Linked DNA regions of Struthio camelus. The protein of the gene in region 4 purifies or fractionates together with the protein of the main gene of each other region. This does not show direct contact. Links are inferred from orthologs where the notes say so. Each region holds a gene or a part of one and is shown on either strand. Other genes may lie near its edges.

Region 1 (6,832 bases), on a different chromosome or scaffold from region 4:
TTTTTATGACCTTGTGGTGTATTAGTCTTTTGTGGTGTTTGGATGATTTAAAACAGCCATCAGCTCTAAATACTTGTTGTCCGTTTTGTTCAGTTCTAAGTGATTGCTCTGTGTTGCTGATCACAGAGCAGCAGATCTCTAGACTAGACAGGAAGAAATGTTTGTGCACCCACCCACAGCACTGGGCTGTGTGAAAGTCCTTGAGAAGTGTTAATGCCCTATCGGCCGACTTATGCAATGTCAGTGTGGGCGGTGGTTTATTTAAACAAAATTACGGTGCAGCATAATTCTCACCATGGCTGCTGATGCAGCTAAGTGTCCTAGCAGTTGCACAGAGCGATTCTGCCTTACCAGTTGGCAGCGTGGAAAATGCACGAGTATGAAGCAGTATCATGAAGTATGGAACTAATGAAATTTAGTGTCTTGTTAATTTATGGGTTTTTTTTTTTTTCTTTACATCCTTATGGAAACAGGTTTGAAAGTCCTTTTTGGATGCTGACAGACATAAAACTGCATAATCTTCACTTTTTGGTGGAAGAAAGGAGGCCAAAGAAAATGCCTTAATCTCCCTGGTTAAATTAAGATATCTGTGTCATGCAGGGAGCTATAATAATTCAAGTATGACTTAACTGGATTATCAAGCTCTCTTAACTCCTTTAACATTTAATTTTATAGTTACTTACTCTGGCTGTGCAATGGGTGTGCTAGCATGTCATGATTTGCTTTGTGCCTGTTTCATGAATGTAAAACTACTTTCTTCACTGGTAGCATGCCTCAACACTGCTCCCTGCTGCCTTGTTTTTGCACTGAACCATACACTAAAGATAGCTGTATGAATACTGGGTATAATAGTGGGTATAATTCAGATTCTTTAAGCTGCCTTGCTAAGAGCTGTGTGTTGCAGATTAGATGAAGAGCAAATCAATGAATAGTGTTAAAGGAGAAGTAACGTGTGAAAGCCTAAGACCGCTCCGTGCTTTGGGACTTCTGTTCTAAAAATGACTTTAGAATGACGTATCTCGCTAAACCTTAAACCTTTTAAAAGTAATATATTGCTTTAGCACTACAGATGATGAAAGTTGAAGTATGCCTTGGTTGAATATCAGGGATTTCTTTTACATGTCATTTAAATGACAAACACAGAATGGCACTTAAAGGGGGTGCACACATACTCTTTTAAAAGAAGGGAGGTAAAACATTTTATTTTTATTTCCAGCAGAGTGGAAGGTGGGTAAGTAGACCTTTGTGCCCAGATTAGTGCCTTTTAATTACAACTTTGCAGGTTTTATTCTGTTAAAGGTGACAGCTATTATTGTGATCATTTTGAAGTGCTTCAATAAAAGTGTTGTTGAAAAAATGTTCTTTTGCATATTCATCTATAGTAGCACAGCTGTTTTTATGCCCTGTTAGACATATCATCACCAAATTGTGGGAAACATTGTTACTCTCAAGCGAAACCAAAAATATCTATGCTAAAATCTAATTCTATAGATCATCTGTAAGAGGAGTGAACATGCTGACTCTCTCAAGCGCTCTTCTAGGAATTAAGAGACTAGGTGGTATTGGTTTTGTACAGGCGGGCATATACACTCAAGTAACGAATTTAGGAACTATTTCCTGATTGAATTAGGAAATTTTACATTTTAAGCTGGTACTCTCATAAAATGGTGATCTAGAATATACTCATGAATGAGGCTAAGATTAATTTTAAAATGTCCCTCCCTCTCCTTTAGCCTACAGCTCAAGGGAGTAGTTGGGAATGCTGCTGTTTGAATGCTACATGGGCAGCTTTGTTTATACAGCTCTTCCTCATGTTTTTATGTATTTCCTCTTTTTAAAAAAAAAAAAGAACAAACGTTGAACTGTTAGGCATGGCGGTCAGGGAAAAGTACCATTTGTTTGTCACGTTGTAAATGGGTCTGTTCATTACCTTGAAATTGCATGTCTTTGAGGAAAAAGTCAAAAGCTGTTGCAGAGTGGTTGCTGGGACGGTATGTGCTCTGTGTTAGAAGAGTGGTTTCTATGGAAACCAGCAAACTGTAAGTACATAACTTCATTTTGACAGAGTGGCCATAAGCCTTGTACTCAGCAGGGGACAACTTTCTGGATGGTTGTTCTGTGAAACTCTACCCTTTCTGGTTACTGCGTTTGCCAGCTCTTCTCATTTATGCTACTTCCTAAAACCCCCAGCTGCCTTGGGATTTGTTCTTCGTTCACTTCCACAATCACATAACGTATTAGTTCATGACATCTTTGGCACTGCGGTAGTCACACTTACTCTACTTTTTTTTCCATCTTGCTACTCATGACTATTTTGGTTGTGTAACTTGAATTCCCACACTGATGATCGATCTCCCTCCTTGTCCTCACGTTCCAAATCCTCCTCTCAGCTACCTTGTTTTCTCTTTGCCTTTTTTCTCTGTAAGACAAGGAAGAAAGCTTGTCCTGATGTTAGAACAAAGCATTATTCCTGAGTTATAGTCCTACCTTTGCCATAATTCACAGTGTGATTGGGATATTCCACTTTTTCTCTCTGCACCAGGAAGAAGGGAGGGGGAAAAGATGTCTTTTATATGAAAGCTCAGGTGAAAGAAGAGCGCTTTGTGTGTATAATGATTTTTTGAACAACTTTTTTGTTTCTCAGTCTCAGGACTTCACCTTATTGACTGAGAGTTGCCCAGTTTCAGGCAGCAAGGCGGCTATTTCTGTCAATTAGACGTGCACCGTTTTTGGCCTCGCCTTTGCTGAGTGCCATGCAGTGACAGACCTGACTTCTTGTGACAGCTAAAGGCTCGCGGCCCTTGCGTGCTGCACTAAAAGAGCCCCCTCTCAGGTTGCCGGTGTGGGGACTGTGCCAGTAAACACTAACGCTAGACAAGGAGCAGCTTTGGCACCGCTTCTCTCCATGTTTCAGCGTGTGACCCCGTAGTAACTGGATGTTTCTCCTAGCGACTTTAAAGCCTCCCAGGACTTTCACAGGCTGGCAGGGGAAAAGCATAATCTTACCGCCACGCTTGAAGGAAAAAGCTCACTACTCGTGGGGGGCTTTGTCCAGAAGACGTGACATTCCTTTGAAGGCAGGCAGCTGCCACCAGTGACACCACTTATTTCCTTTCTTTAAAGGAAAAAAGAAAAAGCCAGTAAAAGTAACCACGATTCCTCTCTGGGATTCCCCCTCAGCAGAGGGATTTGTGTTGTGAACTAAGCACTGGCGCGTAACAATCTCCTCCCTTTGGAGGCCAGCAGACTTTGCGCTCCGCGCTGCTGATAACCTCTCCTGCCCGCCGTGACTCCAGCGGTGGCGCCAGCCGCCTCTCCCCGACGGCAGCGGCCTCCCGCGACGGCGCAGCCCCCCTCAGGCCGCTCGGCTTTGCCGCTTTGCGGGCGGCCCCCGGCGAAGAGCAGCGCCGCCGCGTCTTCCCTACAGGGGGCTGCCGCTTTTGGTCTAAAGCGTGCGCCTTTTCCTTAGAAACCAAGGCGGGCGGCGGGGGAGGCTCTTCGCCCTTCCCCCTGTGTAGCCGCCGCCGCCGCCGCGGGCGGTGCGTGGCCGTTAACGGCCGCTCTGAGGGCGGGGCGGGCCCGGCGGCCAGGCCCCGCCCCCTTGGGCCTCGGGGCGGGGCCTCGCCTCGCTCGCGGCCGGCGCGCCACGACATCCCGGGGCGGCACCGCCTCGCCCCGCGGCCCTTTAAGGCGGGCGGCGCCTCTCTGTCTCCCTTTGACTGACGTGGCGTAGCGCCCAATGAGCGGCGAGCGCTCCCGCCGGCCGGAGGAGCCGGCCAATGGGAGCCGCGCCCCGCCGCCCGTGTTTCTCTTCCGCTGTTAAAGGCGAGGCGGACGGAGCTGGGGCGGCCGTGGGGAGGCCGCCGCCGCGGCGCCTTTAAACGATGGTGGCGGGGGGCGGCGGCGGCGGGCGACCATGCAATGGCGGTCGCTGGTGCTGGGGCTGCTGCTGCTGAGGCTGGGGCTGCACGCGCTGCTCTGGCTGGCGCCGGGGCTCTGCCTGCGCCCGCGCTTCGCCTTCCCCTTCGCCGCGCCCCGCCCGCCCTGCTTGGGGGCGCCGGGCGGCGGCGGCGCGCACTGGGGCTCGCTGCGCGGCGGCGGCGGCGGCGGCGGGGCGGCGGCGGCGGGCGGGGGGGATGAGTACGAGGCGCGCTACAGCGGTGCCTTCCCGCCGCAGCTGCGGGCGCGGCTGCGCGACGCCGCCCGCCGCATGTTCGCCTTCGGCTACGACAGCTACATGCGGCACGCCTTCCCCCGCGACGAGCTCGACCCGCTGCACTGCCGCGGCCGCGGGCCCGACCGCCGCGACCCGTGAGTGACCACCCCCCCCCCTTCCTCCGCCGGGCGTCGGGGGGGGATCGGTCCCCTCAGGGGTCGGGGGGTGGTTGGGGGCTCCCCTGAGGGGACTGGGGGGGGGGGTAGGGGGGGTCCCCTGAGGGGGCTTGGGGGGGGATGGTCTCCTCAGGGGTCGGGGGGTGGTTGGGGGGTCCCCTGAGGGGACTTGGGGGGGGATAGAGGGGTCCCCTGAGGGGGCTTGGGGGGGATCGGTCTCCTCAGGGGTCAGGGGGTGGTTGGGGGCTCCCCTGAGGGGACTGGGGGGGGGATAGAGGGGTCCTCTGAGGGGGCTTGGGGGGGGATCGGACTCCTCAGGGGTCGGGGGGTGGTTGGGGGGTCCTCTGAGGGGATTGGGGGGGATAGAGGGGTCCCCTGAAGGGGCTTGGGGGGGGATCGGTCCCCTCAGGGGTCAGGGGGTGGTTGGGGGGGTCCTCTGAGGGGGCTTGGGGGGGGATAGAGGGGTCCCCTGAGGGGGCTTGGGGGGGGATCGGTCTCCTCAGGGGTCAGGGGGTGGTTGGGGGGTCCTCTGAGGAGACTGGGGGGGGATAGAGGGGTCCCCTGAAGGGGCTTGGGGGGGGCATCGGTCTCCTCAGGGGACTGAGGGGGGGGTAGGGGCTCCCCTGGGGGGACTTGGGGAGGGATCGGGTCGCTGAGGGGGGACTTGGAGAGGGGTCGGCCCTCTCAGGACTGGGGGGGGTAGGGGGGGTCCCATGAGAGGACTGGGGGGGCAGATAGATCCCCTCAGGGGAATGAGGGGGGGGTAGGGGGTCCCCTGAGGAGACTGGGAAGGGGGTCGGTCTCCTCAAGGGATGGGGTGGGGGGATAAGGGGGGGGTCCCCTGAGGGGACTGGGTGGGGGGGGTTCAGGCCCCTGAGGGAACTGAGGGGGATCGGTCTTGTTAGGGGACTGGGGAGGGTTGTGGGGTCCCCTAGGGGCACTGGGGAGGGGATCAGTCTCCTCAGGGGACAGGGGGGTGGTTTGGGGGGGGGCCTGAGGGGACTGGGGGGGGTCAGTCTCCTCAGGGGGGTGGGGGGGGACTGGGGTGACTGCTGAGGGGAGTGGGGAGGGGTGGGAGGTTTTGCTGAGGGGACTGGGGGGGGAATCGGTCTTCTCAGGGGACTGAGGGGGGATGGGGGGTTCCCTGAGGGGACTGGGGGGGGTGAGAGGTCCCTTGAGGGGACTCAGGAGGGGGGTGGGAGGTTGATTTCCTCAGGGGACTGGGGAGGGGAAGGGAGGGCTCCTCTGAGGGGCCTGGGGGGTTGGGGGGATCCCTGAGGGAGAAGGGTCTTCTCAGGGCCTGGCATGGGGGGGAGGAAGGGGAGGGTCTCCCTAGGGCCCGGCCCAGGTACCCTGGCTGCTGCCCTCTGCCCCTGTGGTGAGAGGGTGCGAAATCTGATGGGTTTTTGTTCTGCTGGAATGCAGAACTTGGGGTTCTTTGACAGCCAGGGTTAGGTAACAAATTTCTCAGGTTCCTCTGCCCTTTTTTAAATGTCTTTGAGTAACTTTACCTTTTTGATACAGCTGAACAGCTATGAATTGAGTTGAGCTATGAACGGCTGCAGTCAAATCCCTTTTCTAGTAAATCCTTTCTCCCCTGTTCTAATAAATGAACACAACATACCCAGCCAGTGTGGGACGCAGGGCCAGGACCCATGGTTCATGAGGGACTGCCACTGCCCTGTGTTTAACAAGGCAGGATCGTGCCCTGCTACTCGGTGCCATGCTGCGTAGCATCCTGGGAGAGGGGCCTTCAACTAGAAATGCCCCCGAGATGGGGGTTAGATAGACAGGATACAAATTTATATCCCCCCTTGAGCCAAATAAGGGTTTGGGCTGACTTCTGCTTCCTGGGCAACTTCCTATCCGTAAGATATTATAAAAAGCAGTTGTTGCCCCAGCCTTCGTTCTATATTTTGAGAGTATGGTGCTCACTTTTTCTTAGAGAATAATGGTAGATATCTGTACTGGAGAAGCAGGGTCTGGAGATGTCTCTTGCAGCCCTAAATTAAAGGTGTCCCTTGCTTTCTGTTTCTTGTTTGCCATGCTGAGCCATAGCTCAGCATGCAGGTTTCCTGAATCGCCCTTCCGAGGTGTGTTATTGTGTAGTCTTGTGTGTTTTTTTGTTGTTGTTGTTTTTTTTTTTTTTGGCCAGCTACCCAGAAGGGCCCTTATACCCATGCTGAAAGCGGAGTAGCTGAAACTTAAGGGGTCACGGCCTTGTTTTTTCTTATTAGCTTTTGGCCTTTCTGTGAGTTGAAAAATTTACATTTGAGACTGAAGAAAACAAGACGGATGTGTTGCTCGCCTTTCAGATAGCGTGACAGTTTTCTTGGAGTTCTATTTATCCTAATATGGAGTCTCTAACTTTTTTTTTTCCCAGTTCAAATCTGAATATCAATGATGTCCTGGGAAACTACTCACTAACTCTGATTGACGCACTGGATACCCTAGCGGTGAGTTCTCAAAATATCTGTATGTTTTATTCCCATATTTGCGT
Region 2 (6,928 bases), on a different chromosome or scaffold from region 4:
AGGGGTGGAGGAAGAGAAGGTGGGGGAAACGCCATGACATTGGCAGGAGCCAAGGCCATGACACCCCTGGACATGTGGGCTTTGCTACCCATCAAAACAGATCGGACAGACAGCAGTGTGCAGCCACTGGGAAACTGCAGCCAAGTAAATATCCCAATGACACAGAAGCTGCAGTAGCTTCTCCAACCAACCAGTTCCTACTCCTCAGGGATACGGCAGTCCCTGAGGCACGTGAATGATCGCCCCTTGCTAAGGTTATTAGCCAGGCAACCAGGAGGGACTGCTGCACTGCAGGGACACTCAGCTACAGCCTCCCAGCTGCAGCTGACAAACCCCAGTTTAAACAGTTGACCCATGGGATAGATGTTACCTCTTAACGTGTGCACTGGACACAACAAAACCTGGTTTGGGACTCTTAGATATGCCTGTTAAATTTGTAATAAAACCTGTACCTTCAAGGCAAGATACAGACACAGACTGACACTGCATCCACAACACTGCCTGGTCATGCTGGTAATTTCTGTATATTAAAAAAATGAACCAAAAATAGGCCGAAGACTCTCAAACCACGGCCTACAGACCACTGGTGCTCCACCAACCACTTAGTGGTGTTCTGTGACACTGGGCCCCTCCTTATTGCTAGTTGTTTGGACTGAAAGATTGCTAGACAGAGTGAAAGTGTGCAGAACTTCAGTGTGCTTTTAAAGCAAAACTCTAGTAGGTATACACCACCACTTAAATAAATCAACTGTACCTACCAAGTAATTTAATGTGCAAAATATACTTCAGATATTTTCAAAGAAATAATATACTAAAATATTTATTTTAATGATTACTTAAGAAGTCTGAATTTTTCAATAATATGGTATGCAATTAATCATAAAAATGAAAGGTATCTTACAAACTGTTTTGCTATTTTTGCTGATATCTCTGCACACATCACTTCGACAGTTCTCCTGGGATGGTATACTCTACAACACAGGAATTTATTTCTTACAGCATTCACAGAAAAGGAACATACGCTACACACAAATTGAAAGGCGTCATTACCAAATTACAGGCTTTCTTGTTTTCTAAACATAACCCAAGTATAAAATACACATTAAAAAAAAGGAAAATGAAATGGTATTTTAATAAAGTTAAGCTAATTAAACTCACCGAAAATATTTTAATTCTGGTATTTTTCAGTTATTATATTGGTTCAACAACACACAAGTACTTGGAGAAGGACGAGTCAAGGACTTGTATCCAAATCTTGTAACAAAGAACCAAGCTGTCTCATAAACATATAAAAATGTAGCTAAAACACAATAGCAAATCCAGAAGTATCAAATAAATCAGTAAGAATGCACAACATTTCATAATCCTGTCCCCCGTGTCACATTTCCTCATCCATCTTCCACGAGATGCAAGGATGTGGATAACCAGAACATGCCATCTGGGCTAGTACTAACAAACCAAGCCTAACAATGACTAGCATACTTCCTAGCTGCCTGAACAACCCATGAAAATCAGGAGTTTCTTGAGCTCCTTCATGCAAAACATGTTCACTCTCACAGATGTCATGTATACCATAATATGGAGACACTGCAATAAACATTTTGACATCATCTGCAATTGCAACTGCTGGCTCAGATACCTCAAGCACTTCTTCTGACATCTTTAGTACTTTAGAAGTGTTAGAAAATAACAAATGGCCCTCACACGCATCTGTATGCTCCAAAAGAAGTCCAGAAAGCAGTCAAATAATTCAGTAAGCTTTCCAGCAGTTTGGGGGATTTTTCTTGCCAACATCCTGTAGCACAGCACAGCCAGCCACTGTCAATGTGACACACCAGCGTTTGAGCTCAATGTAGCAGTGCCTGAAGCATCTCTTTGCTAAACATTTTCATTTACACCTCACAGTCTCAGCAAAACATAGCAGTGAGAATGAGGGCTATTTTTGTCACTACCTGCTTGCAGTATACTATAGTATATTTTTACTCATCATTTTTATATTCTGGCAAAACGTGGTTTTTTCCTGAAATACAGGAGCATGGAAGGAGACTTTGGCTAACTGCCATTTTTCTCCCCTCAGTACTTAAATTTCTTACATTTTTGGCAGATCGCTGTCCCTTCTGCATTTGCCTTTATTTTGTGTTGCATACTTTTTAAAAAGGTTGGTTTTATAGCAGTTTCTTTCCTTATTTCTGGCAGTATTAATACTACATACTAATCTAACATGCAACATATGTACTCTGCCTTCTTTATCTTTCAATCAGAAAGCTCTCTCTTTTCCACTTCATTTGTTGTGCTCACCTTTGATGAAGCTGCTTTGAACAGCAGCCTATCATTTCAATTTCATTTTCTAACACCACTAAAACAGTTTTAAAATTATAGTTGTAGCAGCATTAAAAGCTTCTGCTAGTGCAGCTACATTGAGAGACTACATCCTGAAGAACTGCACTGGCCAATTTGAACATACATTTGAATCGCAGAAGCCCTGTTTTTTTATTTTTTCAGCACAACTAATAATAAAGCAGAAGAAGAGCTATAAAATGATTATCAGCTTGCAGCACCACTTTAGTTAATCATACCAAAATAAGAACTGACAGAGGCTCAAGCAGTGGGTCACTCATAAAGGCACAGTCTGCCTCTGTGAACTGTAGAGTCCATAGATTACATTTCCCTTGAGATTTTACCTTCAAATAAGTGTTTAATACCACTTTTTTTTTTGCCAGTACATCTCCCAAGAATGTATTTTAAAGCGTGTTTAAGGAACGTTAACAGCGTGTGTCAATCAGCAGCAAGTACTGCCCAAGCAACTTAAGTGTTCCACTTTTTAGTCTTCTCCTAGAGTGTAACAGCACGATACGCATGAAGTGTAACGCCCAAGCCATTCATCTGCTCATTAACCTTCCTTACTTTCGCAATTAATTATTGGTTGGCCGATTATCCACTAAAAGCTCTACCACGCCACAGCTCTTCCAGGTGCCTACGGCGCTCTGACTAGGGAGCACCGCTGCAGCGTGTCGGCCTGTCGGCGTGCCCCACCGAAGCGCGGGGACACGCGGCCTCTCAGCGGGCTCCTCGCCTCGCGTGGCCGTGGCCGCAGGGCTGGACGCGGCTGCGGCCTGGCTCATCGCCGCTCCTGGGAAGCGGTTGCTGCCAGGTGGCAACTGGAAGATGCAGCGCAGCATCCACTTCACAGCGGTGACTAGAGCCAAGAGAAGCGAGGAGGAACTGCAGCAGCAGCAGCAGCTGGAGCCGGAGGAAGGAGGACGCCTGAAAAAGAAACGATCCGGCTTTTTAACGACAAAGCGGCAAGCGAAACCGGTGCCCAGGTCCGGTGTGAAAGTTAAGCGCCCGCCAGCTCGGAGAGGCGCGGTGCCCGCCGCCAGCCCGCCCGGCAGCGCCGCCCTGCCCTCCGCAGCCAGGGGAACGCGCCGCCCCGAAGTCACGCGTGTCCGCGCACAGCCCGCCATGCGGCACAGCCGCCTGCCCGCGGCGGCCCCTCCGCCCTGGGGACGCCCCCCGACCCCCGGGGACGCCCCAGACATGGCGGCCTCCCCCCCCCCGCCCCAAAGGCGGGAAACCGCCTTTCACAGGCAGCCGCCGCCGACCCCCGGCAACCAGGAGCCGGAGCGCGAATAAAAACGCCACCAAATAAGGTGATGAAGGTTGGCACGAAGTCGGGGGAGAGGGGGGAGACGACAAGAAGGAGAAAAGCCCTCCTGGAAAGCTGCCCGGCGGAGCGCCCCCCGTCCCCCCCCCGCGGAGGTATTCGCGGCTCGGCCGGCGGCGCGACGCTCCTGAGGGAGCGCGGGCGGCGGCGGCGGCGGCGGGCCCGGCCCGGCCCCCCTCGCCCAGGCAGAGCCCTTCCCTCTTCCCCTCCCGCCCGAGGTTTGACGGCAACGGACAGGAATGTATTCTGTATTATGTATTTCCGGGGCGGGGTAAAAGCAGGCTGAGCGCGGAGCCTCTTCCCCGTCCCCCCGCCCCCGCCCCCGCCGGGCTCCCCGCGAGCACCTCTGAGGCGAGCGCAGCGGCGCCGGCGCCGGAGCGGCCCGGGGCGGACGGGCCGACACACGGACGGGGAGCCCAGCCGCGCCGCGCCCAGCCCGCGCTCCCGGGACAGAGGAGGCGCCTCAGTCGGGCGCGCCGGAGCGCGCCCCCTGTCCCGAGCCAGCAGCGCCGCGGCCATGGCCGAGGTAGCGGGAGGACGAGGCGGGGATCGGAGCGGGCGAAGCGGTGCCGGCGGGGGCGGGGGGGGGGAGACGCTCCTCACGGTGCGGGGAGTCGCCGCCGGCGCCGGTGCCCCGCCGCGGGGGGGAGGCAGCAGCCCGCCCGCCTGCTGCGACCAGGCGGGAAGGTGCCGGGCCCGGCCGCGGCTTCCTGTCGCGGTGGGACGGCGGCGGCCGGGCCGCGCCTTTGTGCGCGCCGCCGGCTTGCGCGGCGACCAGCGGAGAGCGGCCGCGGCCGCAGCGGCAGGGCGGGCGGCGGGCGGGGAGCCGAAGTTTTCGGCGAGCGCGGGGCGCGGCGGGCGCCCTGCGGCCCTGCGGAGCGAGGCGAGGCGAGGCGAGGGGGCTGGCGCGGCGGCCGCGCAGCGGTCAGGGCTGGCGTCAGGAAATAAGGAATAAGAGCGCGAAGAGTGCCTCCGTGCGGGAATTCACCACCCGCCTGTCTCTAGAGTCCCTGGCCTGAACGTGGCTATTACAGTCGGCCGTTGAGAGCAGGCTTCTGTGCCGTGGGGACGGCTGCGCGGTCGCGGTGCAGCCACTGGACTGCTCGACTCGCCTGCCGTTGAAGCTGGTGCGTTTTTGCTCTAAGCTGGCAGTGAGCCTTTACAGCTGGCTGTTAGCTTACTTGAGGATGAAAGTGGGGTTATGGGAACGTAAGGCCGCTTTATACGGTCTGGTTCTGCTGATGGTTTCGGGAGTAGTTTACAGCAATGCAAAAGCAATGTTTGGTCTAACATGCGAGATGTCTAATATGTTATCTTCATACGCACGATGTTTGGAAGGAAACATAAAGTGACAGAAAATTCTTTTCTGACTCACTGCTTAGGTCGTGTTTTGACCCAATGTTAGATTTCTTTATCTGATGGAATGAATGTCAGACTGCTGATTAAACTTGGAGAATATTTTTCATTCTGGGGAGAAAAAAAAACCCAGCCTGTTTTGTTTTGGGTTTTTTTTTTTTTTCGGATTTGCCCTTGGTATAACACAGCAGTCCATTCATGCCAACATATGTGCCTGTACTTCTCAGGTGCAAATGGTGATTTTTCTGTTAGATTTGCCCTTGCTGTATTGCTACAGTCCTGTTCCTGCCAACACACATATATCTTTAGGAGCAAGGATTCAGATCAGTGAAACCACGCATGGCTGGTGCTGAGCATGTACTTAAGCATTGAAGTGGAGTAGGACTTTGCATATATGCAAATAGATTTAGATAATCTGTGCTTCTGGTACGTTTGTCATTCAGTAAGTGATGGTGGTAGCCTAAGCAAATCAGTTTGCAACTATGACATGAGATGACTTGGTAGCAACTTTTTTTTTTTTAAGAAATAATTTGCTACTAGAAATATGTAAATTAGAGTAAATTAAACTAGATTTCCAGAGTAGTGAAGACATTCTAGCAGAGGCGCAAAGTTCACAACCACCCTCATGAGGAAGCTGATGATACATTCTCCTGTCATAAAAAATATTACTTGCCTCTAGCAAGTGATTACATAGCATTTTGCAAGCTTACCTAAGGCTGCTTTATAAAGATTGCAAAAACAGTGAGCCGCTGGCAATATGTAGGCAAGATGAGGCAAGTTTATGATGAAGATGCCTTAAACTTTTGTCCTTTTCAAATATGCGTAGTAAAGTGAAAGGTGCAAACTTGACAACCGTGGAGAATAGAATCCCATCTTTATCAAATTTAGAGTTGATTAGTGCCATAGCTATTTGCCAGCCATATAATAAATAAACCAGTTCTATTTTAAAATAAAACTTGAACAGCTAAAAAACTGCTATTCTTTTTGTTGCTGCTGTGGATTTTCTGTATGCAGCCAGGGAGATCAGTCTGCTGTTTTGTTTTGTTTTTTTAAAACTTTTGATAATCTGATCTACATAATCCTAGGGCCTAGGTGGGCCTAATTTTGCCCACCTTTATGAAAAACTGATGCAGAAGAATGCAAGTTTCTCTAGCATATTCCTGAATTTCTGGTACAAGGGCATAATTTTAGTGTTTGTCTTGTCTAGTTCTAAATGACTCAAGTGGGTTAATCTTCCACCACTTCCTTTGGGAGGTGATTCCCACAGCTGAATACAAACTGTCCGGAAGCTTTTCCTGCTGTTCTTTCTTCCCGATTCATGATTTCATCCCTCTGCTCTTCACCATCCCCCCCTATACTTTTCTTAGCGTACATCTGTAGTGATGCAGATGTAAAAAAGAGTGCAGTGCTATAGCAAGCAGCTGAGGCAGTAGATAACTTAGGTAGCAAAAAGGCAAGCTCAGAGGGAGCAGTGCAAGCACAGGGTTGATGCATGCTGTATTTTGGGCTGACGTGAACATGATTCCCTTACTGCTTTTGGTATGAATGGTCTTCAGTTGTTTGTAAATAGCTGTTGTGCCTGCCTTTCCGGCAGTCTTGATTTAGTCAACTGAAGTGATGCATGTTTAGCTCTTAAGTCTTCTCCAAGAAGGCAGTTCTTCCAGCACTGTGCTCAGCCTGTTACAGACTTCCTGGCTGCCAATACCTCTTGGTAACGTGGCCTTTAGAAATAGTTCTGTTGAAATATCTGCTCTGTGATGAGACCCTTTCTGTAAATCATGAAAGACTGTCCTTTTGAGCATACTCTTCTTCTGTTTTTTCTTTCTCTCTTTCAAACAGACAGACAGGTTCCCTGATATTCCTCTTCTCCCTGCAGGTCTGAGCTCCTTCAGGAAAGGCAGATGCAGT
Region 3 (7,335 bases), on a different chromosome or scaffold from region 4:
AGCCTGGCCTGTCCACCTGGTAAAAACTATTTCCACTGCAAATTCAGGAACAGGTTTAACTTTTCCCCCAAGAGAGAGTTGCCCTGTACGTCCTTACAGTAAGGCATGTTTTTTTCTTATCACTTTGCCATTTACACTTGAATTATGCTTAAAAAGATATTTCTAATAAGAAAGGTAGAGTTATTAAAAAGCCATATATTTTGTCTCAGTTCTCTAAATTAATCCAGAATGTGGAAAAGCATTGAGTGATTCTAGAAAGTATAGTTACACTATGCCTTAATGATTAGGAACTGCTTCCCTTACTTATAGGAATGTGCTTTCTAGTTTCTCTTGCCTTTCAGAAAGGGAATGTTATTTTCATTTTCAAGCGTACCGTGCATCCAGACTGAGTTAATATTTTATATAGGACTTTTACATTTCCTTTAGATAGGAAGATTTCCATATCAACTCAGTTTAAGGCAAGGGCAGGCCTGTAGCACTTCATTAAATGTCTTTGTCATTAATGAATTTACAGTTTTCACAATTTTACCATGTATTATGAGACAAAGATTAAACATGAATGCAAATTATAAAGGTATATTTCCTGATGGCGTAAATGTTATCCAAAAACTCTACTAAACTCAGGATAATCTTTAAACACACAGACATAGAAAATTAACATTTATATTGTAGCGCAACATAAACAAGGTCTCATTTTTACGTGTGGCATTAGAGGTTAAGAATTGTAAAGCTGGCAAAACTCTAAGCTAAAAATCTGAGATAATTTAGAAGGGCTTCAGTGTTTTCATATCAAAGTCTGCATGACTGAAAATCTCTTTCTCACACTCAGGAAAGCTAAAAAATTCCAGACATTTGGGAGGGTCCTACATAGGAAGTATTTTTGGCTTTTGCTTTCAGCATATTTCACATTTTTAGGCAAGCTTACAGTAATTTTTCAACCACTGAAAATGGCCATAGTCTTGTACTTCCAATTTTCACTTTTTTCCTAAACCTTTTTGTCACCTGCATTTATACTGACAGGAGGTAACACTTGACTACAGGTTTCTCAGGTAGAAGCAGGTGTTTCAGCCCTTGAAAAGCAGAATTTGAGGTAAGGCATACACATTTCATTTAAAGTACTGGAATGCTTCACAAAGCGATATAGTTTTCTATTTCAACCTTTAACATGCAAAACAGCTAAACGGCGTACAGATCGCTTAGGGTTTCTTTTTTTTTTCTTGTAAGAACATTAGAAAGATCTTTTGAGCTCGTTCCTAATGAACTCATTCCCTTTTTCCTTCTGGCTGCTATCTTATGCTGCAAAATTTAAGCTTTCTTTCATTCAAACAAAACAAACAAGAAAAATGCAGATCCTCAAATGTACTGAGCTCTAACTGTGGGTATAGCTGCAGGTTTGCAGTTTCCAGTGTTAATCATAACGTAGGTACACGTTTTGATTACCTCTCCTAGTTCTTCCCCTTTCTTTACCTTGTCTGGAGAATGCCTGTTGCTCCCAAGGAGCAAAAATGAAAAGTGTAGAACTGTGTATGCCAACTTGATACTATACAGGATGTAAAGGACAGTTTTTTGACAGGTTTTTCTATGGACCCTGCTTCACAGAAATCTACTGGCCTGCAATAAGGTAATATTAAAAGCGTAATATAACATAACTTTCCATGAGGAGGAAACAAGTGCTCATCTCCCATTTAGCTCATGTAACTTGGGAAGCAGCTAACAGAAAGCTGGTAAGAGTCCAGTGTCCAAGCAAGGGAGTTACGCCAACTGACGTTTAACAGTATAACTGAGAAAATCATTCATGACAAATAATACATATTTCTATGGTTGAGGAAATAACTTTTGAAACAGAAACGGAATATAAATATGAACTGTAAGTAACGTTAACCTGAAGTTCCACAATCACTAGTACTGGATTTTGAGCAATTAGCCAAAGCATATGATGCTGAGTTTCTGCTGGCTTTGTTCTTCTAAGCCAGCTTTGCCTGACTCCAGGAGGACAAAAAGACAGACCCAACGTAAAGCCAGTTAACCCACCTAGTTATTTTGAACAAATCTGAACTGGCGGTGTAACTTTGTAGTGATTTACTGCTCCATTATCATCTCATTGTTGCATTTTTTATGCTACACTAAATGCATTAAAAGCAGACTAACCATCAAAATACTTAGACTGAAGGGTGAGCACTGACCTGAAGATCAACGTTTTTCATTCCTCCCACTGCTGAGGGTCACTCGTAATGAAAGGAGCATCAACTGCAGTGCATATTCTGAACTTTACAAGGAGTTGCAAACTGCGGCTGAATTCCACTAAGAAGCAGCAGCAGCAGAAAACAAGCTTCAAGCCTAAAGTGTAGAATGCTCTGTTGTCTGTGGGGTTATTAGATGGAACCCGCATCAAATTTTTTGATTGCATTTTCACTGCTAACTTTGGTTTAAAATTTCCCAGATCCAGTTTTCCCTTACACTGCTTGAAAACGTTTGTGACTCAACGCCAATGGAGTTTCTTGTTTTAAGATAGCATGATAGCTGAAGAATCTCTCACATAATGCCTGTCTGAAGCATGCTCCATGTTAGTCTGCAACTGGCTTGTTATCTGAATCAAATCCTGAAACAAATGATCTACACTTTAAATTACTACTGTCAGATTTGGAGAGGAATTCAACTTTCACTAGGCATTTCCAGAACACTTCTTATGTGATACCCATGTTGCAGGAAAAACATTGGGTAAGGTATGCTGAAAAATAAATTGGACCATCTAATTTATTCCATTTGGGCTTAAAAATAAGTGATAGTAGTCAAATCACAGTGGAGTAGCAGCATTTGCTCAGGGTAGGCTCTTAATGGAAGAAAAATATTTCTACCCACAGTTCAGACTCATTGTCTAACAAACTGAGCAGATAAAGTGTATAGAACAGTAAGAACTGAATAGTTTCTTCATTTTAGATATATATTATTAGGAATGCAGACAATGACCACAGCGTATCATTACTTGCAGTGGGGGTAAAATTAAAGTCCCCAAGCTAAGCTTCTCCCTTGTATTAATTGCTTTCTTATACTACACTAATTAATCAGTAGCATCAGACTTTTTGTGGGTGGGTGCCGGATTTGCCTGCAAATTCTCTTTTACCAAAACGGCCCTCAGCAGCTTCATCTAGCCAAGACGGTAGCGATGGCTGGGTAAACACAAATGACAGCCTCTGTTGTCATTGATCGAACAAACCAAAAGCAGGACGTTCTTTTTCTCAACAACAGTTTAAAACCATTCTCTTCTGGCGACGTAAAGGAGTGGATGCAACCAGTACTCACCTGGTTTCACATCTATGTTTTATGGGCAAATTAAAATAGATTCACATTTCAGTTCTTCTTAGCTGTGAAACTACAGTATGGTTCCCACAAACATAGGATGTACGTTCAGATCTAAATATTAAACTTCTCACCATACAATTTATTCAAGATTTATAGCAGTGTATATTCCCAGCAAGCACTATGTAAATACAGAAAGATTTAACTCACTTGTCCTAAAGACTTTGCAGTCTTACGATTCAGTCCTACCACTTCCTCAGCGGGGAGAGACTATTGTGAATTTTTTGAAACCAGCTCGATGCAGTGACTACACCCGCCTTTTAACTTTTCCAATACGTTAGAAGGGATTCCAGCATCTTTGAACATAAAATTTATCACAGCTGCCGCAGTTATACTAGGAGACGAGCTAGCGCTTTCCTGGTTGGGTTTCTTCTCTAGGCTGGCAGCGCGTTAAGTGGAAGTGAAGCACTTCGCTACCGGTAACAGAAAGTTCGGCTACTGTGGGAGAAGACGCTTTAAATGTATTTGCGAGGCATTCGCTTGAGCACACTGAAGACCAGCACGTGACAAACGCTGCAAGTCGATCACGCCGGGGAAGCCGGTGCCCGAGGAGCCGCGGCGGCGACGCAGCCCGCGGCACTCCCGCAACAGGTTGTAGGCGGGCGCGCCAGGCCCTCCTTACCCCCGCGGAAGGGCGCAGGGCCGGGCCCGAGGCACCACCCGCGCGGGGTGCGCTCACCCCTTGCGCGGCAAGGGAAAACACCCCGCCGCCGCCGCCGCCTCACCGCCACGAGGCGGACCCTCGCTGTGGAGGAGTGGGGGGAACGGACGGAGCGGGAGCGGGACGGCGGCGGCCCCTCCCCCCCCGCGGCAGCGCTGCCTCGCGCGCCTCTCCCGCCTGAGACGAATTTAAACTGCGTTACTATCCCTCGCGCAAAGCACTAACGCCGATGGAACCCGCGCGCCGCTGCCTTTTTCCGCCCGGCAGCCAATAACAGGGCCGTTTCGTTCCCCTCCCCGCCAATCGGGGCGCGCCTTGTTGCCGGCTGGGAGAAGCGCTCGGTGCGCGCGCCCGCCGCGGAGCTGGGTCGCTGGCGCGGGGCAGGCGAGTCCTTCCCCCTCCCCTCCCCGCCCCCTCCCGCTCTGCCCGCGCTTTGTTGGTGCCTCTCCCGGGCGGGCGGCAGCCGGCGGCGATGCCCGAGTTCCTGGCGGACCCGTCGGTGCTGACCAAGGAGAAGCTGAAGAGCGAGCTGATCGCTAACAATGTGAGCCTGCCGGGCGGCGAGCAGCGCAAGGACGTCTATGTGCAGCTCTACCTGCAGCACCTCACCGCCCGCAACCCGCCGCCCGCCGCCGCGCAGCCCGACTTCTCCAGCGACGAGGAGCGGGAGCCCACGCCCGTCGGCGCCCGGAGCCGGGGTGCCGCCGTCGGCCGGGTGAGCGCAGCCTGCCCCCCCCCCACCGCGCTGCCTGGGCTTCCCGGCGGCCCCGGCCCGGTTTCCCGCCCGAACGGGCCCGCCCGCCCCTGCCGGTCCCCGCGGCTCGGGGGCTGCCGTGCGGCGCCCGGGCTGCCCGCACGCCTTCCCGCCGGGGCGGCTGCGGCGAGGCGAGGCCCGGCCGAGGGCGCGATCGCGCCCCTGGCGTGAGGGAGCGGGGTCGGGGCGCGCTGCTAGGCGGCCGCCCCGTACCGGCGGGTTTCTTCCCGGTGTGACCGCTAACTGGGACCCGCGGTGCCCGGCAGCCCGCCGGCTTTGCCCCCGGGTCGCGTCCCGCGTGTGCGCCTCTCGGTAGCGGCGGCTGCGGCGCGGCCCCCGCTGCGGCGGCCGCGGAGCGCGGCTGAACGCGGGAGCCGCCGCGGCCGCCGGGAGTGCGGGACGTGAGATCCCCGGGCTGTAAACTTGGGACGTCTCGACTTCGATTTGACTGGCGGTCTCGTTGCGAAAGTGCTCAAGTGTTGGAGAAACAAAGCAAGAGAAAGTGTGCACGAGGCTTCGTCTCAGGAACATTAGACAGGAGCCTCCTATAAATTCAGTTGCACTGAAACAACCCTGATCTGAATGTCCCCTCTCGGATGGGAGGATGAAACTGTGGTGGAACAGCTTCTTTGTTTTGCTTAATGGAGTGGACTCTTTTAGTGTAAAGAGTGTCTGCTTAATATAGTTGGCTTTCTCATACCTCTGAGCACGTGTTTCATAGCAAAATGCCTCTGCTGCAAGGATTCAGCTGATTAACTGTTACTTGCTCTCCTAGACTTTATACCAGCATGTGTGCAAGGAAAAAGGTGTAGCTGTAGCTCAGGACACTTAAACTTTTTCTATGTTCGATAATATGATTTTTTTATTGTTATTTTAGTAAGTGCCTTGTAAATTTATGTATACTTTAAAAAGCAATCTTTTCATAATCTGAAGCTGAACACACTGACTCATCTTGCGTAAAGGTTTCTGCGGTGTTTGCCGGTTACTAGAGTTGTAATTCGTATAAAAAAAACTCGTGTCTGCAAAAAATAATCTTTCAAAGTTTATCTGTAAAGAGGCTGCAGAGGACCAGACTTTTTCGAAGGTTTTTTGTACTTACAGCATATACAAATCTGAACAACTAACAGTTCTTAGTTTAAGAAACTGAAAATTGTAACTGAAAGAGGAAGAGATTTTTAGTTAAATTGCTTACCTCTTTTTAATATGTGCCTAATTCAAATACTGAATTGATGTTCACTGTAGAACACTTAACCGTGGACTAGGCGCTTCTCCAGTTCAGTGATCTGCCTGTAGCATTTTAAGGTGCTTTCAAGTAGAAGAGAATGACCTTGAATTTGAGTTGTAAGAGGAGGGAAGTCTCAACTTCTGAAGTCCCAAGACCTGATTTTTTTCCCTCTCCTTTCTCCAGTCCTTTCACTTAAACAATTATGGATGACTATTTTATTGTTTACAGAATGGGTGGTACTCTTGCACTTTGGTTAATAATGTCTGCAAGGCTCTGTGCTAGTTATGCTAGTCTTCCTGTGTGTTAACTTCCGAGCAGTGCACCTTGATGCAAAACTTCAGAGAATATTGTAGTGGCAACAGTTGGAATTTGGTGGGTTCTGCTTCTTTTGCACCCCTCCCCTCCCTGATAGCTCAGTTGATGCATAGTACAACTTAGGCAGTTCTGAACCTACTTGTAGCTTGATTAGCTGTTGTGCTGCTTTGATTTGCTGTCCTTCCAATAGAATAACATACAGGCCTCCAGAGTGATATGTCTCCAAAATGTTTGGAAGGGAGAAAAGGAGTGAAGAAGGTCTGATGTGTAGAGGAGTGGAGTTCTGGTATGGAGGCAAAATGAAAGAAGCTGGTATGAGTGATTACTTTCCCTCCTGTTGCTTTTTAAATCTATGTAAGAGAGGAAACTGGGAATATAGGGAAAAGGGAGGAAACTGAGGCTTGTACTCCTCTGGATAACTTCATTTTTTTTATTTCAAGTATTTGTTTTATGCATTTTTGTAAAAGACCAGAAAACAGTTTTCAGTGGGTGCATATGGAAATGCAACTGCGTTGTCACCTGTGTAAGTATAACAGCATTGCTTTTTTATTTTTTTGTTAGGCTAGGATATGAGTAACAAAATTGCAATGCTTTATTAGCTCCATTTTTATGTATGTTACAGGTCTGGAAAAATGACAGTACTGACTTACGTATATTGAAAGGAAAATGCAACCAGTTGTTCTAAATCTGTAGACAATCAGCTATTTAATGTAATCAAGCATTTTGATGTTTTAGAAACACATTACAAAAATATTCTGTGGGATTTTTTTAATTGGTCTGCTCTATTCTGTGGTTCCCATATTGCTCTTAAATTTGAGTGCTGTTTAATTTGAAAATTGCAAGAGGTTTTTTCAATCAAGGATGACTCAATCGAAGCTAGTATTAACTTGTAAATGCCTTTGAAAGAGCACTTGTGTAGTTTTCTGTTTCAGAGGGTTCTGGCCCACTGCGCTTTCTGTGATTCCTGATTTTTGGTGTTCCTTTGGACATAGCTTAACTTTGTGCATTCATTCTGTATCTGTG
Region 4 (6,954 bases):
TGTCATTTGGCCAACCTCCTAATGCAAATCACAGTCCCTCTCTGGGTCATGGTTCCCAGTGGAGTGATCTTGCTGTCCTTTGCAATACAAAGCTTGAGAGTCACTGGTGCTCTTAGGCCACTAAGGCAATAGTCTGTGATTACCGCGGGCAGTTTGCAGCTCTACCTGGCTGAGGTAGAGTGCCATGTTTGCATCTAAAGGGTATGCTGCATTTCCCCAGTGAGGGAACAACAAAACACAGCTCTCAAGCCACCAAAAGACACCTGAAGTCGAACTCTTGCTGCATGTGTAGCAGCTATGGTCAGATAAAAATGCCGTTAAGTTAGGTGTCACACCCTCAGGGAGGACACAGTTCTGGGGACGTCTGAAGGACACTCTCAAGCAGATCTAGCTCTGGTCTATGAAAGAACTGGTGGAAAGGGGCACAGTTGGAACCAAACTGTGCCTAAAAACCTGGCGCAATGCCCACGCAAGCTGTAAAAGCTGTGATACAACCTAAGGAAACCATCAGGATTGCCATATCCTATGTCCAGACCGGACTTGCACCTCTTGTCTTTTCTTGGATACTTCTGAGCTTCTGGGTACCAGAAGTTTTTTGTAAAGTTCCTATTCCCAGGGGCATTTCCTAGCCTCTTCTGCACTTATGATATCAGATGGGTTGCTTATCTTCTTCCACTTCCTTACTGTATTTCCCTGTCTCCCTCCATCCATCTGCCAGTGCTCTGACTCTGGTTCGCTGCTGCTTCTCTTTGCTACTTACTCTCCTACCTTTATTACAATTAATTAAAAACATTTACTTACATTCACTTTTCTTACCTTTGAAAATGACAGGATTTTATTTTTTTGTTTTAGACATTTAGGCCCCCTCTGTTTTGATAACGTCAGTGAATCTTACCCTGCTCTTTTCTCGGAAGGGGTTCCCTCCAGATATCTCATTGTAAAGAAATGCGTTTTCCGTGGAAAGCGTACCAGAGCGCATGGACGTTGCCCTGTATAGGGACGTGGGCTTGTCTTCCCTCCTGCAGTTCAAAGTTTGAAAGAGCAAAAGTCAGCATTCTCCTGCTGGTCATCTGCATTTACTGCCTGCTCTCTGTCAGTGTAGTGTCACTAATGTCCTGCTACTTCTGGCTTGCTTTATTTTCCACTCGCTACTTGCCAGTTTTCCAAAGGAGACTGATATCTGAAAAGATCATCTACTAATGCTTGAAGCGCAAAGAGAACTCGAGCTGTGTGGCAACGCATTACAGAGACTTAAGAACAGAAAGTACCTGCTGAAAATGGGGGAGGCTTCTCTACCTGATGAACAGTCAGGGCAAGAAAAGTACCCCTATAGGGCAGCTGTTCAAAGCCATCATTCACTCGTAAACCGAGGACTGCCTTTCACCTCTGAGACCGACGTACCCGGAACGGGGAGTCTAAACGTCAGGCTTTTCTAGCTTAGCCGCACGGCCCGTTTTATGTCTTTCAGAATTTACTTCCAAAATGAGAGAACAGCACGCTCCCCATGAGTGTATCAGTGGATCTAAACAAATCTCTTGTGGTCAAGCCTGCACACACCTAAATGGTTTTCTTCAACAACGTCGTGTTTGCTGTGTGGTCTCTGCCATCCCTCTTTCCTTCATCGCCCCTGTCCCTGGCATTGCACAAACTGGGCTAAAAATACCATGTTCTCAGCTGCCAAAGCACTTAAACCTCTGTGCATGCTTCTTCTCTTCTCTTTCTCCCTCTTTTTTTTTCCCCCAGATTATCTATCTGTCTTGTGTTGACTGTGTATAAAATCACAGTGTAGGATGTACTTTTAGCAGCTTACGTGTTTTTTAACTTAGAGCTATTCTCTCCACGCCATGACAAAGCAGAACAGGCAGGAATGGGTTGCAGGGCCTCCTGCCTGCCCCATGATTCAGCAGGTTGTAAAAGGAAGCGGTGCCGTCTTTTTTGGGAGAGGGTGGCGGGAGAGAGAAAGGGGAGGCATGTGTGACGGGCGTGTGGGGGTATATCTGACTTCCTGGTGCTTGAGCTGATCAGAGCAACAGCCTAGCATGGTGTTATCCTGCAAGTCACAGTTAAGTAACTCACAGGCATGAATAACCTGTTTCAAAAGAGGGATATTTGAAGGATATTTGGTGGGAAGTTGGATTTTGCCTAGACTGGGGAGGGAGCTTGCTAAATTATACGTCTTTGTTACCCTTTAAAGTATTCCTCTGTGGTGTTTTTAGTTTGCTATTTTAAGGTGCTTGGTATCTCACATGCTGTTACGTTGTTTGTGGCTGCTTCTCTGCTTGTCTGCCTTGCATCTTCTGTGCAGGTTCTGGGTGTCAGTCAGTCTACAGGGAGGTTTAGGAGCCAGGTTAGTGGCTTTCCAGAAAAATGTGAGCGTTTAATTCCAAACTTCAGTGTAAACAGGGATTTGCTGAGTTCGTTTATGCTGAGCCTTATTTCTAAACGCTGGGTCCCTGCTTGCTTTGTCCTAACGTGGTGGAAATTTCTCTGTGGGGAGACTTATGTTGCTGACTCATTGTGTCAACTCAAAACAGATTTATGTTTACAAAAAAAATCCCTCTTCTTTCTTTCTCCTTCCCACCCCTCTTAGCAATATTGAATTTGGTATTCTTACAGAATACCTAGTATCTGCTGGAACAGGCTGTAGTCCGCAGGCCATACATGAGCTTGCTTTAAACCGGGGAGTTTAGATTACAGCTTTCCATTTAACTGTACTCATGTGAAACAGTTTAGATATACCTTAAAGTGGTATTACTGATAGGATAGCATGAGTCTGCTTTCCTCATCTTAGGTCCTTGTTCATCCCTATCTTACACCGCCATGGGTACGGGGAGCAGGAGGCAAGGGAACTCTTGAACGTTCCTCTTGTTCTCTCAGTTACTTGCAAACCGGTTACCCGCCTCATGCCTTCCCTTCCTATTCCAAACAATTGGGACAGAATTTCCTCATTTCCCTGGGCTTCTAGAGTCATTGAGACATACAGATGTTTAGCATTTACACGGCATTTCACTTATACAGAAACAGATTGTCAATTTAGGCAACACAGCATTGCTTAAAACTTCTGGTATTACGCAAGGCCTTCACAGAGGAGGCTGCCTGAAAGGTACTTCATGTTTTAAATAGGTTGGAGTATATGTTACATTTAGTGGTTTTCTTAAAACCGCAGCTTGCAATTGAGCAAAAAAAAATAGACACTTTTTAAAACAGAAAACCCTAGTCAGTATAGTACAAAGAATAAACTTTAAAAGCCCTGCCAAGAGGTTAAAGAAATAGAAGACAAAGATGAAACCGGTGTTTAATTTGATGGAGCCCGAGCACCGGGACAGGCAGCGGCCCAGGGCCTCCCCGCAGGGACGCAGCACGGGGCTCTGCGGTGAGGCGCCCCGGCAGGCCCGGCTGTACCAGCAGACACAGCGCTCCTCCGCGGCGAGGGTTGAGCCAAACCCCGCGGGCGAGGGGAGCGTTTTGGGCCGGGGAGGCGGCAAGGCGAGAACCCTGCTCAGCCCCCTGCCCTGCTGCCCCGGGCCAGGCAGTCCCTGCGGCACGGGGCCGTGGCCAGGACCCACGGCGGAGGAGGTGCGAGGGAGCGGGCTACGACTGGCAGAGCCGGGCCTGGGCGACGGCGGACGCTCTCGGACGCCTTTCTCCCACCTCCCCCGCCATTGCCCTTTTAAGCCCCGCAGCGCCCAGGGACAAGGAATCCGTTGGGTCTCCACCCACATATCAACGGCCTCCCTACAGCTAGCCAATCGCTGCGCACTTCCTGCAACCCGGCCGACCAATAAAAGCGCTCCACGAGGGGAAGCGCCGTTGGGGCGTGTTTTGAGGCGGGCGGACCGCTGAGCGGCGGCGCCCTCAGCCAATCGGAGAGCTGGACGGGCGGTGGGGCGGGCGGGCGGGCGCGCTGCCGGGCAATGGGGGAGCCGGGGCGGGGCGCGGCGGGGGCGGGGCTGGCGCGCGGTAGATAGGCGGGCGGCGGCGGCGGCGCTGAGCCCGCAGGCACGTGACGGAGGTGAAGGCAGAGGAGGGGACGGGAGGTCCGCGGGAGAGGCCGGGGGCGCGCGGGGCTGCGGCGGTTGGCGCTGTCGGGGGGCGCGCGTGGCGCGGTGAGGTGAGTGCGAGCTCGCGCCTCGCGGGCTGCCCTCCCCTTCCCCCCCCCCCTCGCCCTTCCCGCTAGAGACGGGGCAGCTCCGTGACTGGGGGGGGGGGGGGAAGGGGAGAGCGGGCCCGCTCGCGGGGCATGCCGGGGTATTGGCGGGGTGTGGGGAAGCCGGGCCGCCCTGAGGGAGGTGGCGGGGCAGGCAGAGCCCGCCTTGGTGGGGGGAGGGGGATGCTGGGCCTAGGATGTAGTAGGCGGCGGGGGGGCCTGCGGTGGGGCCGGGGGGGGCAGCCGGGGACCCCGAGAGCCGAAGCGGGGGCGCTGGGGGAGCCCGTGCGGCTCGGGGTGGGCTCTGGGTGGCTGCAGGCCGCGGGCAGGCCTGGCTGGGAGCAGCGGGTCTTCTGGTAGCTTCTGGGCTGGGAGGCGGGTAGGGGCTGGGCAGGGCCTGTGGCACGGCCGCAGCCGGGCAGCGGTGATGTGACTCTTCGCTGCTCCCCTACCGGGGGGGGGGGGGACGACGACGTACAGAGGCATGGTTTGGAAGAGGGAGTAAGGAGGGGGGGGTGGAGATGGATGGGCTGGCATGTGGTTTGGGTTTTATCTAGCTTGTGGCGTTAATGTCGGCAATGACAAGAGGGAAATAGTCTTCAACTACCTGGAAATGCCAAAACGCTGAGGTTAAATAGGTGGCTCTGCAGCGCTGGGGGTGGGGGTCGGTATAGACCATAGTGTGTGGCATGATTCGTGCTGGGGGAGAGGAAGTAGAAGCCTCTGGAAAGGGGGAGATGAAGGTGAAGAACTAGAGGCCCAAAAAGTGGCAAAGGCATGGTAGGTGCAAAGGCGTGAGTGAGGCCAAAGGTGAACTACAGAAGAGAAGACTTTTTAACAGCAAAGACTGAAGATTTTGAGGGTTTGAAATGCATACTTTGGCTTAGCTGCTGAATATTGTTTCTGTGTTGGGTGTGTAGCGTGCATGACTGAGGTCTTAGTTCTTGTTTATCACTCAGATTGTGTACTTTCAAAAAAAAAAACCCCTCACCTTTGAATTAAAGTGAGTGTCGTCTACTGCTTTCTTGTCTGTCCTGCTTCTAAAGAATGAACTTTCATATTTGGCTTTGTGTTTGAGAACTTTCTAGGCTATAGAACGAGAGAGGCTGCAGGTGACTTGATTGTGGAGGGAACCAGCTATGTAAATAGGGGAAGTATAACAGAGTATAAGACAATACGGTAAATAAGATATGTTACTCAATCTAGACACTGCAACTGAAATGACTTCAGAGACTCCTTTCCAAAGCCTACTGTTGGTTTGGTCATGCTACATAAGTTTATCCAAAATAGTAAACAAAACTAGAAGCAACTGGAAGAACCTTTGAGTTAAATGTAGTGTTTGCCCTAAGTTTCAATATTTCTAGTTCAAAAAAAATCCAGAAAGATGAGGAGTTATGAAGGGAATGCTAATATGCTACACATCCTACATTACGAGCCGAGTACAAGATGTACATTGTTTCTTGGCATCTAATGCCTTCCTAAGAAGGGAAACCTAATGCAGAGTACTAAGAAAGCTTACCACTTCCGTTAAAGTACCCTTTTATTTGATGTGTCCCAGCACTTCCTCTAAATAAATGAATAAATCCTTTACTAAGACTACATTAAAACTTGTATTTAGTCCTTCCTTTTGCTTCATTACTAGGGGCAGAAAAATTAAAGGTGAGAAAAGGATCATGACCATACCCTGTTCTCTCTGGAATTCATTCTGTTGCAGAGCAAACGTGAATTCATTCCTAGGCATGACAGTCTGAAAAGTCTTGAGGCATCTCCAGATCTCCCCCCACCTACCATAATTCCCCTAACAGCCCATCTGTTTTATGGTCCAAAAACCTTGCAGTTCTGTCTCTGTCCTCCAAGGACTTCCAGTTCTGCATGAATGATCTGCTTGCTGACAAAGGGTACGTGGTATTTTCTCCTTTACTATGTCTGCGCTGATGTATGTTATTTTTAGAAACTGACATGTTTGAAGTGCTTATTAAAATAAGCATTGTTGCTGTCACCTTTCATAGCTAATCTCTTACCTGGTTTATGCTCCTTACAATCCAAACAGAAGGCAGTTATTTCTGTGGAGCTATCCTTCTCTGTAGCAGAAGGTTTAGGTAATCCTCTCTAGGAGGAGACTATCATAAAGTCTTATGTAGCAGTGTATCTTAACCACCCCCTCCTGAAAAAGGACCCCTCACACAGCGCTCCAGCCTCTGGCTTGTTATAAGCAAGGCAGTTTTAGTTTAGCCTTGTTTGTTCACTGAGTTGCCATGTTAAAGGCAAAACCTTCCCAACTCTGAAAATGTCTGACTGCAGAGCTAAGCGTTTAAGGGAAAATATTTGTCTTGTCTGCATCATATGAGTTGCTGCATATATGAACATAATTTTTATTATGTCCCCGCTAGAGGAGCGGACAGGTAACTTACTGGTTTCTGGAGTGGTGGAACTTGGCCACAAAATTGGTTGTTTGGCTTGGCTGGAAATCTCCCAAGTCTGCCTGAAGACAGCTGTGTCTTTGAGAAGTGAAGAAGATAGAAATGCATGTGAACTACAACAGTAAGCTGACAGTGCTCCCAAGAGCTTAGTTTCCTTTATCCATGGCTGCTTACTATCTTAGTGCCATCGCTTGTCCTGCTACAACTCTTTGTACCTTTGTATGCTGGTTTGGACTAGGAGATTGATTGAGAGTTTAAAGTCACACAGCAGGAAAAACTTGTAACTGTCCTAAAACAGGTATTAGTCCACTATGTGGCTGTGTAAACAGTTACCCTGGCACAGCTGAGTGGCCAGGTTGTGCACAGTGAAGGGTGAGGGGAACCTGG

The links.
Region 1: the proteins of CANX (region 4) and EDEM1 purify together in Homo sapiens (affinity purification with western blotting; 6 studies listed by BioGRID and IntAct, with this or other methods). This does not show direct contact. The link is inferred for Struthio camelus from reciprocal best matches to the Homo sapiens genes CANX and EDEM1.
Region 2: the proteins of CANX (region 4) and ITGB1 purify together in Homo sapiens (affinity purification with mass spectrometry; 3 studies listed by BioGRID and IntAct, with this or other methods). This does not show direct contact. The link is inferred for Struthio camelus from reciprocal best matches to the Homo sapiens genes CANX and ITGB1.
Region 3: the proteins of CANX (region 4) and TMPO purify together in Homo sapiens (affinity purification with mass spectrometry; 3 studies listed by BioGRID and IntAct, with this or other methods). This does not show direct contact. The link is inferred for Struthio camelus from reciprocal best matches to the Homo sapiens genes CANX and TMPO.

The regions. Positions count from the first base shown.
Region 1 is NC_090955.1:2,469,832-2,476,663, reverse strand, and holds the start of EDEM1 (ER degradation-enhancing alpha-mannosidase-like protein 1), read left to right. Parts: upstream 1-3,825; 5' UTR 3,826-3,916; coding exon 3,917-4,311; intron 4,312-6,715; coding exon 6,716-6,788; intron 6,789-6,832. UniProt on the Homo sapiens protein: Extracts misfolded glycoproteins, but not glycoproteins undergoing productive folding, from the calnexin cycle.
Region 2 is NC_090943.1:16,831,239-16,838,166, forward strand, and holds the start of ITGB1 (integrin beta-1), read left to right. Parts: upstream 1-3,919; 5' UTR 3,920-4,181; coding exon 4,182-4,190; intron 4,191-6,928.
Region 3 is NC_090942.1:53,314,918-53,322,252, forward strand, and holds the start of TMPO (thymopoietin), read left to right. Parts: upstream 1-4,325; 5' UTR 4,326-4,490; coding exon 4,491-4,733; intron 4,734-7,335. UniProt on the Homo sapiens protein: May help direct the assembly of the nuclear lamina and thereby help maintain the structural organization of the nuclear envelope. Possible receptor for attachment of lamin filaments to the inner nuclear membrane.
Region 4 is NC_090954.1:6,908,274-6,915,227, forward strand, and holds the start of CANX (calnexin), read left to right. Parts: upstream 1-3,930; 5' UTR 3,931-4,012; exon of another isoform or gene 4,013-4,111; intron 4,112-5,789; exon of another isoform or gene 5,790-6,045; intron 6,046-6,537; exon of another isoform or gene 6,538-6,688; intron 6,689-6,954. UniProt on the Homo sapiens protein: Calcium-binding protein that interacts with newly synthesized monoglucosylated glycoproteins in the endoplasmic reticulum. It may act in assisting protein assembly and/or in the retention within the ER of unassembled protein subunits.